2 linked regions of the Caenorhabditis elegans genome follow. The protein of the gene in region 1 purifies or fractionates together with the protein of each later gene. This does not show direct contact. Each region holds a gene or a part of one and is shown on either strand. Other genes may lie near its edges.

Region 1 (4,777 bases):
CGATAAGGCTGCTGTAGCAACTGCAAGCATCGAACATCTATCTGTTCTAGTGGCTAAAATGACTTCAGCATTGCATCCTGGAACAAGAAATAATGTGCAGCTCACAGGACATTCACTCTTTTATCTTATAACATCTTCTGTTGGAGAGAATGAGTTGTTATTTAGTGTTGCTTCTGATTCATTTTGTAATTCACTCCGATCTTTGGGAGAAGTAAGCGATATTTTAATTTCTTCTTCATCTATTTATTTTCTATTACAGGAGTATGTCAAATTCCGTCCCGAAGAGCAAATGGACGTCATGCAACTGGCATTAGATGGATTTGTACTCTCTGAACCTCTTGTTGAGGTACATCGCATTTCTAATTAGTGGTGTTTTGTTGGGGGAATTAACAAAGCGGAACATAAAATCACCGCACTTTTGATTCATCTAATTATTTTAGGTCTTCACTCCAGAAGTGCTCAATTCGGACGATTTGTGCACAGCGTATAGAAAGCTATCGGACGCTGTGAGAATGCCGGAAAGAAGCAAGATGGCTTTGCAATTGTTAGGTAAGCAATAATTTATTATGATTCTATTTAACAGAAGAACTAAACCCATATTATATTATACATTAATTCCCGTTATGATCCAAAAACCGAAGATGCGTCTTTAGCTCTGACTTCCAAATATTCTCGCTTTTTGATGACATGCGTTGTGCAGATGAGAATTCTGAAGTTCTTTTGAATCGCCAGCAGCCTGAAAGAAACATTTTGTTCTTTCGCTGTAATTATAATTTGTACTCACCGTAAAGCTGCCACTTCCCAATAGGTAATTCCGCCGTTGACAAAGACCATGATGGCTTTTCGAGTACGATTATCTGGTCGACGATCTGCCGCAATATATGTATTCTCTTCGACTAATACTTTATCTTTTCCTGTAAGAAATATGTATTAGTTTCAATTATGAATCAAAAACTAAAACTGCTTACCAATAATTCGTTCATATTCTGCTTGATTCCATCCATGATCTATTGTATCTTCAACGATTTTGCAAAGCAGGGGAGAAATTCTTGCACCGAAAACATAACTCATATCAGAAGGATTTGACATATCCATTGGCTCGTTTCCCTTAACGATTCTGAACTTTCTTGCCAATGTTTCCCATGTCCTGGCACGTTCCGAAATAGTCCGATCGTGTGCGATATGTCGACGGGCGTAAATAACACGGGAATTTCGAAGATTCTGAAGTTCGAACATATGCTCGTATCCGTACTTTTGTAGATACATTTCCACGAATTCGTTGTACGTATCATCAGGAACTCCGTCTAATTTGAGAGATGCAAGTGACATCATCGATAGAACCACATCACGACAGGATCTCATCGGAACTCTTTCAAAAACAAAATCAAAATACTCTTCATGGGTTACGGTTCCGAGTAGCATTTCGTGTTCTAATTTGAACATGGTTCGATAATCTTCCATTTTAACTTTATTCATCATCATTTCGCATGCATTAATGTGCAATTCACAATGCTTGTGATCCTTTTTGAGCGCTCTCAGGTCTTTTTCAACAAAGTTTCTATAATCCGCAACATCATCAATCATCGATGATTTTTCGATACTTTTCTGTATCGATTTCGCTTTGGAATGTAAAAACTCCAGGGCAGCTGTGACGTGCTTGTTTCGAATCGATGCAAAAATGTCCTCACAATTATCCAATTTCACTGTATCTCCTCTATTTTGTTGATGTGCCTCCTTGTCTTCTTCCGGATTAATCTCGATCCAATCAAAATCCAATGGGCCAGTTTGAACTTGTTTCCGTAGATCTACTGGGAAAGCAAGCTTCCCACAATCAATGGTAAAAAATTCATGAAGAAGACCTTCGTAAGATGCTCCGGTCAACAATACAGGAACCGGATCAAGTTGACGATCGAATAGGAATAAATGACTAATTGGTTGATCTGGTCGAGCTCGAAGTTCGTTACTAGAGCACAGTGCATGAACTAGGTTCCATAAATTCTTCGATTCAGATCCCAATCCGTAGACTGTTGGGATTACTCCGTATAAATTTTGAAGTGCTACAAACATGTTGGCAACAGAGAAAAGATCCGGTTGCGCCGATTCCACATGTTGCAATGAAAATAAATCGCTTTCTAACGGCAAAAGGCACATATTCAGGCTAAGTTGAGTTATGTGTCCAATGACTCCAGACGATTCAAAAGCGAGATCGCATTCTTCTAACTGCCTGTTGCACCAGATCACACAAATAGATCGGTTTTCGCTTGACTCTTCCACGTACTCGACAATTTTTCTGGCGTTTTCTACGTTGGGTCTTAGAAAGAAGACTCGCTGATCGATTTCGATGTTCCAAACCTTTGAGAAAAAACAAAAATTACCAAATATAATTGGACTTCACTATTTACCTGTGGTGATTTCTGTAAATCAAAATGCATTATTCGTTTCACTCCGTGTCGTTTCATATCTGATGATGTGGCAATCATATCGAGTGGTCTTAACAGACATTTATCGATAAAAAGCTCTTTTGTTCCTGAAATTATAACATTCACAAAAATGAAAAAAAAACTATTATTTGAATACCTGGTAATGTTTCTAAATAATGTATGAATTCCCTTTGCATAACCATCCGAAGCAAGTGCAAAGTCTCATCGATTTCCAGCTCGGCGGTACCCGGTGCCATGGTTGATTGTTTGAACTTTTCAAATAAATATAGTCATGGAAATAAAATAAAATAAATTGAGTCTTCCTGCGTGGTAATATTATCGTTCTGCATTGAACCGCGAAATGTGATGCATGCAGACACGGCAGCATACTTGACGAGCGAAAAGAGTATATAAGATGAAGAGACGCAGACATCAAAAGTTTTCTTACAGGTCGCCTTGGCATGCAACAAGCTGCCGCTGGCTTACCTCCACATCAATTCGCCGCTCTTTTGCCAATTGCATTTGCAAATCTTGCCAGTCAACCAGATCCTTCGTCTCCACTTCATGCATTGTGTTTACAGGTAAAATAATATAAGAAGACACACAAACATTCTGGTTATTTTCAGCATGTCATTTTCTTTGTGTTTCACCATTTCCCGGATAACATTGTTAATGGACTTGACTTGACTCTGGATGGATGTAACACGAATTCAACTCCTGCTTCACTTTTGGACGCTATTGTTGATAAATTGGATGCAAACGATTACTTGAAGAAGAAAAATTCGTTTGACTTGGGAGCTGCCAAAGCTGATGAATGTGCTAGAATATTGTCTAAGCGATTGGATGAAGCAAGAACAAAACTTCCGAATTTCTATGGGTAAGTGTTTATGATCGTACATTTTATTATTTTTTGGAAAACTCTATTTTTAGAATATGGTCTCGTTACTTGGATTCAGTAACTCGTCTCGCGCAACTGTTCCTTTTTGTGCCTATTCGTGATGGATACGAGCCCAACAAGTCAGTTTCAGTGCTGCAAAGAGAATGTTATGAATATTTCACCCGTGTTGCCGCAGTATTTTCGCCATTGATCGCCCCATACTCTCCAACTCACCCACCTTTCTCGACCTCCCATGAAGCTCAGGCAATGCTCGTTCTCGATCGATTCGTCGACTTTCTATCTGCCCTTCATTTCAATTCAAGTATACCACCTGGAATGCAGAACATTCAGTCATTGGTTTGGCAGTATTATTGTGAAAAACTTTCTATTCTGACACATGGGACTCAACACTATTATGATGTTATTGAACGGCAACTAGTACGACTGAATTGGCAAGCTCTATGGCCATCAAGACTCGCTATAACAGCAATGGAAAATTGTCTGGATACAAGATCACAAGACTGTGCTTCATTTATTTCACAAATGGTTGCTCGTATTCCGTGGAGCAATATTCTTCAAACAATGCACGAGGATAGTAGACCAAGCTACTTGGCTTCTTTATTCGGAGTACTTGTTCGTCTTGCTGCTCGTCCTCGAAATTATGATAAAGTCCGTGCATCGTTGCTGGAGCTTTGCAAATCATTTTCGCTACGATCTGACTGGAATAAAATTTATCCGGAAGATGCTGCCGGAATAGCATCTGCTGTAACAAAATGTTTGCCCTCGGATTCATTATCAAATCCCGTGGAAATGGTATCAGTAATTCAAGTTATATGGAGGAAAATCTGTTGTTTTGTTGTACGTGAGCCATTCTCCGAAGTATCCCTTCAAAAACAGAAGTTGTGGATTCAAACCGAAAGTTCTCTACTTTTGAAAGCGGAGTCCTCACAAATTCCCGCAGCTTACAATTCACTAATTTCGGATGTGAATGCACTAGCCTTGAATCACTGTAAGTATATTTCCAGAAACTCAATTTTTCATTAAATTTTTCTCTACAGCAAATCTACGAGAATTCCGGGTCGTCACTCGCGAACTGACAGCAATGTGGAAGAATATCACAGATGCCAAACTAGGAGGTAAATTAATTTATATATAGACATCTTTATTCAAATTTTTAAATTCAGAAGCTCTTGTATCTATATGGTCGGAATATTTGGCTGCAAATCCAACTTCTCCTCTTGTTCTAACATCTGTCAATACTTTAGTCGATTCATTGAACATTGATCAGTTGACAACTGCATTGAAAGTTATTGAAAAAGTTATATGTGCCTACTTCCTAAGTAAGTGAGATTTTATAATCTCTTAATTTATATTTTTGGTACTTCAGGAACGGACAGTAACTGGGCAGAACTTCTTCATTGGATTCAATTTCCCACAGGAAGCTTGAAATCTATCAAATCATATCTCATGACTGTACCAT
Region 2 (5,817 bases), on another chromosome or scaffold:
AAATTGTAGAAACTCTTAAGATTTTGGCAAAAGAGCGTGGTTTATTCCTTCACGTGGTGTCAGGTTGTCCGGTTTGATCTTCAAAAAAGCGGGAATTTGTTGCAAAATCAGTGGAGAACTCAGCGTCCTAAATCCCGCATTTTTTGTAGATCTACACAGTAGATCAAACCGAAATTGGGGGCACGTGTCTGCGCTATCATCTTTTTGGCTTGAATAATTTGAATTTGGCTTATTCATGTCCACGACCCCCTGCAAGTTGACCTATAAGATTCCCGCAATTTTTGGAGGTCAAAAATTGAGGGGTTCACCTATAGTACTGTAGGATAACGGTACATAACATGTTGTATCTCATTTCTACATGTACACGTGATGCCAGACGTCCCATCACGGTTTGATCTACAAAAAATGCCGGAATTTTCGCCCAAAAAATATGTGACGTCAGCACGTTCTTAACCATGCAAAATCAGTTCCCGCATTTTTTGTAGATCAACGTAGATCAAACCGAAATAATCCACTCTGACACCACATGCATATATGCAAAAAAATTTTTTTTTTTTTTTTTTTCAATTCCTTTATTTCAACACAGATAGACTAAAAAGTTCTATTTCGCCTGCTTCTCAGTCTTCTCAGTCTTCTCATCAGTCTCATCCGATTCCTGCTTCTGATCTCCATTCTTCACCGTCGAGTTGAACTTCTTGAAATACTTGAAAAAGAACAAAAAAACGATGGCGTTGACGATCACTACCATACCGAAACCGAGGTGAATGAACGAGAGACGTGCCCAAGAGTAGATTCTGAAACAATGCATTTCGGTTTGATCTTCAAAAAACGCGGGAATTTTGCGGCCGGAAAAATGTGACGTCACACGCTTTTTGTGGTGCGAAACTACTCGAAAACTGATAAAACCGAGACTCTGCACGGGCTTCTGTGGCTTCCCTCATCTTGTTTTTCCACGTGGTGTCCGGCTGTCCTAATCCGGTTTGATTTACAAAAAATGCGGGAGTTTTTCTTCCAGAAAAATGTGACGTCAGAACACTTTTAACCATGCGAAATCAGTTGAGAAGTCGGTGTCTCTCGTCTCCCGCATTTATCAAAGATCAAACCATAATTGGAGACTTTGACACCACGTGTTTTTCGCGCTCCATTGACAATCGCCTGCTGGACCGAACCGCGACGCTCGTCTCGTACAAGAGGGAAACCAGAGAGCGCCGTTTGAACTCGGCGAGCAATCGCGCTCTAGCGCGCAAAACAAGCGGCAACCCCGGAATTTCAAAACTTTTCGGGTGTTTTCCAGTGGAGCGCGATTGCTCAGCGATTTTTTTGTTGCAAAAACTCACGGAATCTGAATCGATACCTGGCGTACGCAAGTGTCGATAAATATGCGAAAATCACGAGCCGCGACGCGACACGCAACGCAACGCGCCGTAAATCGACTCCGAATTCGGCAAGCTCTTCCATTTCAAAATATGAGGACCTCGCTGCTTGACCTCCAAATTTGCGGTAAACTTACACGAGGCTGACTCTCGCAATTTTCAGAGATCAAACGACGCGGTGTCCTCAGCGGAAGCGGAACATCGGAGTATCGTTTGGCACAAACTCACTCGCTACGTTGTTTAAGTCTCCGAGTATCCTTCAGCGTCTGTGTCCACTCCGTCGAGTTATTCACCGCCGCCGCTCTTTTCGTCCGAATTTTCTGGCACTTTTTCAGCTTCTTCCCCGAATTCTCATCAATCAGCGCTGCTTCCCTCTTCGATTTTTTCGACTTTAAAACTCGCGGTTTCGACTGATCCCCAAACACGATCAACGCACTCTGACTGTTCGCTGGAGCGCAGATGAAGTATACGCTGAAAAAATGGTTGCGATGGAGCGATATTGCATCTCCAAGCCTGCTAACCGAATAAAGTGATTCAAATCGGGTTTGATGGTGGTTCCGGTGTATGACAGCTGATATTTATCACCGTTTTTCATGAAATAGTAGCTTCTCATCCAAAAATTGATCACAAGAAAGTGTTCCGTATTGTTGAATTCAAGGACACGCAGAGCTTGTTCGGCACCCTGAAAAAGAATCGATAAAATCGTTACGAGACACAAATTGAATTTTTCGCGCTCCATTGGCAATCGCCCGTGTACTCCACACGGACAAATACATTCAGTTTTACAACTAAAATCGAGCCGCGACGCGACACGCAACGCGCCGTAAATCTACCCCAGATATGGCCGGGGCCTAGTTCGGCAAAAACTCTTCCATTTCAATTTATGAGGGAAGCCCGAAATCCGTGGGAAATCGCGTCGAGACCCGTAAAAAAAGTCTCACAGTCTCATATCCGTTTGTCAGATTCTTCAATCGATTTCCGAAGCTCATAAGAATTCCTTTTCCTTCGAGATCATTTTCCCTCCACTTTGGCGATTGTCCGTCATCGATAAAAAGAAATTGGCGTGGCGAGTTCACATTTTCCTTCTCCAAAATCGCCTGGTCCTCTTTGATACACGTGTCTGAAAGGGTAAATGTCGTGGCGGGACCCGCAAAAAAATGCACGGGCTTCTGGCCTCGCATTTTCGCGCTCCATTGGCAATCGCCTGCCGGACGGGAGAGTCGTGTACTCCACACGGACAACTACATTTAGTTTTACAACTAAAATCGATCCGCGACGCGACACGTAGCGCGCCGTAAATCTACCCCGGTCGTGGCCGCGCCAAAATGACCTAGTTCGGCGAAAACTCTTCCATTTCAATTTATGGGGGAAACCAGAAGCGCGTGCGCTATTTGAAATCGGTGAGCAATCGCGCTCCAGCGCAAAAAAAAACGGCAAACCCGGAATTTCAGAAATTTTCCGTTATTTTCACTGTTTTTAATGATTTCACAGTCTCCTCGGCGTCGAATTGGGCTGGGGCGCACTTGCACATTGGCACAGCCGGGGGAGGGAGTGAATCTTTTTAGTGTTGAAAAATAAACTTCGTCGTTTTTTAGCGTTGAAACGAATTTTTTCGCAGATTTCGAACTTAACATTTGTTTATTAGCACAAAATGAAATGAAAGACCATTAAAAGAGAAAATTTGGTCAAAAACTGAAGGAGGAGTAGGGATATTAAAAAATCAACGGTAAAAATGGTGTTTCTCTGAAGAAATCATATTTTTCTTGTATATTTCAAGTCACCCACCTTCGCGATCATCTTCTTCATCCTGAAGATAATTATCAAAAGAGGCGGGGCTGTAATTTTGGAATTCTAGCCTATTTTCCGCGTAATTTCTGAATTTCGGAGAAATCCACAAAATGCGCTAGCAAAAACGCGAAACGCGCCAGTAAGCAGTTTTTTGTGCGCTTTCGATGACGAGGAGACTGTGGATTTTCACATAAAAACCATAAAAACGACGAAACAAAAAGTGAAAATGTACAAAAACTTCACTCATATGGGCTACTTATACGGCGGGCTTCTGGCCTTGCATTTTCGGCGCTCCATTGGCAATAACCTGCTGGACAACGCGTGGGAAAGTCGCGTGTACTCCACACGGACAAATACATTTAGTTTTACAATCAAAATCGAGCCGCGAGGCGACACGCGACGCGCCGTAAATCTACCCGCCGACCCAAAATGGCCTAATTCGGCAAACTCTTCCATTTCAAATTAAGAGGGAAGCCAGAGTGCGCCGTTTGAACTCGGTGACCAATCGCGCTCTAGCGCAAAGCAAGCGCCAAACCCGGAATATCGAAAATTTTTAATTATTTTCGCCGTTTTTATTGATTTTCACATAAAAACCGTTAAAAACGACGAAAAAAAAGTGAAAATGAACAAAAACTTCACTCATACGGGCTTCTGGCCTTGCATTTTCGGCGCTCTATTGACAATCGTCTACGCGTGGGAAAGGCGTGGTCCACCTAACCGCGACGCGGCACGCAACGCGCCGTAAATTGACCCCAGCCGTGGCCGCACCAAAATAGCCTAATTCGGCAAACTCTTCCATTTCAAAATAAGAAGGGCGCTTGAACTCAGTGAGCAATCGCGCTCTAGCGCAAAAAAAGCGGCAAACCCGTAAATTTCAAAGTTTTCGCTGTTTTTATTGATTTTTCCTCGCTTTTCGTCTTAAAATCATAGAAAGCGACGCAAAATTTTGGCCTTTTTTTGAAGTTTCGCGCTGGAGCGCGATTGCTTAGCGATATTTTGTTGTAAAAAACTCACGGAATCTGAATCGATACCTCGCGTACGCAAGTGTCGATAAATATGCAAAAACCACCAAAAAGCGCATTACGTTCTCAATTTACAAAAACAAGGACTGAATTCTTCCGAAATTAATTTTTTTTGGAGAGGCAGGGTGGGGGGACAAGTTTTTCACGCTAAAATTTTTTAAAAATATTTTTCAAATTTTTAAAAAGTTCGGAAATGTTTACTTTTTGAATCAAATGGGGGAATTGTTGTCGTTTAAGCGAATACAATAATAATAATAATATAAAATGACGCGATATTTCAGACAGTGAAAGGTTGTAGAGATATACCGGTAAAATGGATTGGTTTAGGCTTGGGCTTAGGCACGTGGTGTCAAGGTGTCATTTTGGATTGATCTACACGTTGATCTACAAAAAATGCGGGAGAAGAGACGCAGACTTTTCAGCAGAGGATTTCGCATGGTTACACGAGTGCGCTGACGTCAGATTTTCCCGGGGGAGGAAAGATTCCCTCATTTTTTGTAGATCACAAACCGCAATGAGACAACCTGACCACCACGTGAAACCAGGGGTGTGCGGCAAAAAATTCGATTTTTCAGAGAAAATTGGAAAATCAGAAAATTTTGGGATTTTGGTTTAGGAAAATCGGAAAATTTTGATTTTTTTGTCAGGGAAAATGGAAAATTTTGAATTTTTTTGACTTTTTTTCATGGAAATTCGAACATTTTTATTTATTTTTTTTAAAGGAAAAATTGAAGGAAAAATTTTTTTTCATTCAAAAACGAAAAATTTCGATTTTTCTGGAAAAAATCGACATTTTTTTATTTTTCTTGAAAAAATTCAAAAATTGAAATAATTGGATTTCTCCAGAAAAATAAATTGAACTTTTGGCTTTTCACTCTAAAAAACCCAAATTTTTCGATTTTTCCGTAATAAAAAATCAATAAATCAAAATTGTTCGAATTTTTCCTTAAAAATTGAAAATTTTTGGCTTTTTCCTGGAAAAAATCAATTTTTTTTTCGGTAAAAAAAAAATCAAAAAATGTCGAAATTTTTCGTTTTTTCCTCAAAAATCAATTTTTTAAAGTTTTTTTAAAGCAAAATTTGAAATTGTTAGGCTTTTTCCTGAAAAATCCAAATTTTTCCAATTTTTCTGAAAACAAATCCAAAAAATTCAAAATTTTTGGATTTTCCGGAAGAAGCCAAAAAAGAAAACATTAAATTTTCGATTTTTCCTGGACAAAATCGAAATTTTACGATTTCTTTTTTGGAAAAAGCCCCAAATTTTTCGAATTTTTCTGAAAATAATCGAGATTTTTTGATTTTTCCGGAATTAAAATCAGAAAAATTGGTTTTTTTTTTCGTTTTTTTAAACACAAATTGTAATTTTTTGGCTTTTTCCTGAAAAAATCCAAATTTTTCGAATTTTTTGTAAAAAATTTAAAAAATATCGAAATTTTTCGAATTTTCCGGAATAAAAATCGAAAAAAAAATTGAATTTTTGGCTTTTCCTCTAAAAAACCCAAATTTTTCGAATTTTTCGATTTTCAACGACACCCTTGGAATTTCAGGAAAAAAAAAGAAAAAAAAAGAGAATAACCGTAGCATTGAACAGCGGAGACGGGAGAGAAGAGTTGTGTGTGGTCAATACATAAATA

The links. The genes of interacting proteins can lie anywhere in the genome.
Region 2: the proteins of vps-33.2 (region 1) and Y95B8A.4 fractionate together in Caenorhabditis elegans (co-fractionation; one large-scale study listed by BioGRID). This does not show direct contact.

The regions. Positions count from the first base shown.
Region 1 is NC_003280.10:6,599,224-6,604,000, reverse strand, and holds vps-33.2 (Vacuolar protein sorting-associated protein 33B), read right to left. Parts: upstream 2,786-4,777; 5' UTR 2,678-2,785; coding exon 2,578-2,677; intron 2,528-2,577; coding exon 2,403-2,527; intron 2,353-2,402; coding exon 969-2,352; intron 915-968; coding exon 785-914; intron 737-784; coding exon 622-736; 3' UTR 550-621; downstream 1-549. Other genes in the region: epg-5 (Ectopic P granules protein 5), read left to right, coding at 1-211, 260-346, 441-549, 2,871-3,001, 3,047-3,297, 3,351-4,306, 4,356-4,433, 4,482-4,637 and 1 more. UniProt on the Caenorhabditis elegans protein: Plays a role in vesicle-mediated protein trafficking to lysosomal compartments and in membrane docking/fusion reactions of late endosomes/lysosomes.
Region 2 is NC_003279.8:905,918-911,734, reverse strand, and holds Y95B8A.4 (Protein EMP46), read right to left. Parts: upstream 4,288-5,817; 5' UTR 4,243-4,287; coding exon 4,176-4,242; intron 2,494-4,175; coding exon 2,315-2,493; intron 2,056-2,314; coding exon 1,895-2,055; intron 1,845-1,894; coding exon 1,602-1,844; intron 795-1,601; coding exon 602-794; 3' UTR 546-601; downstream 1-545.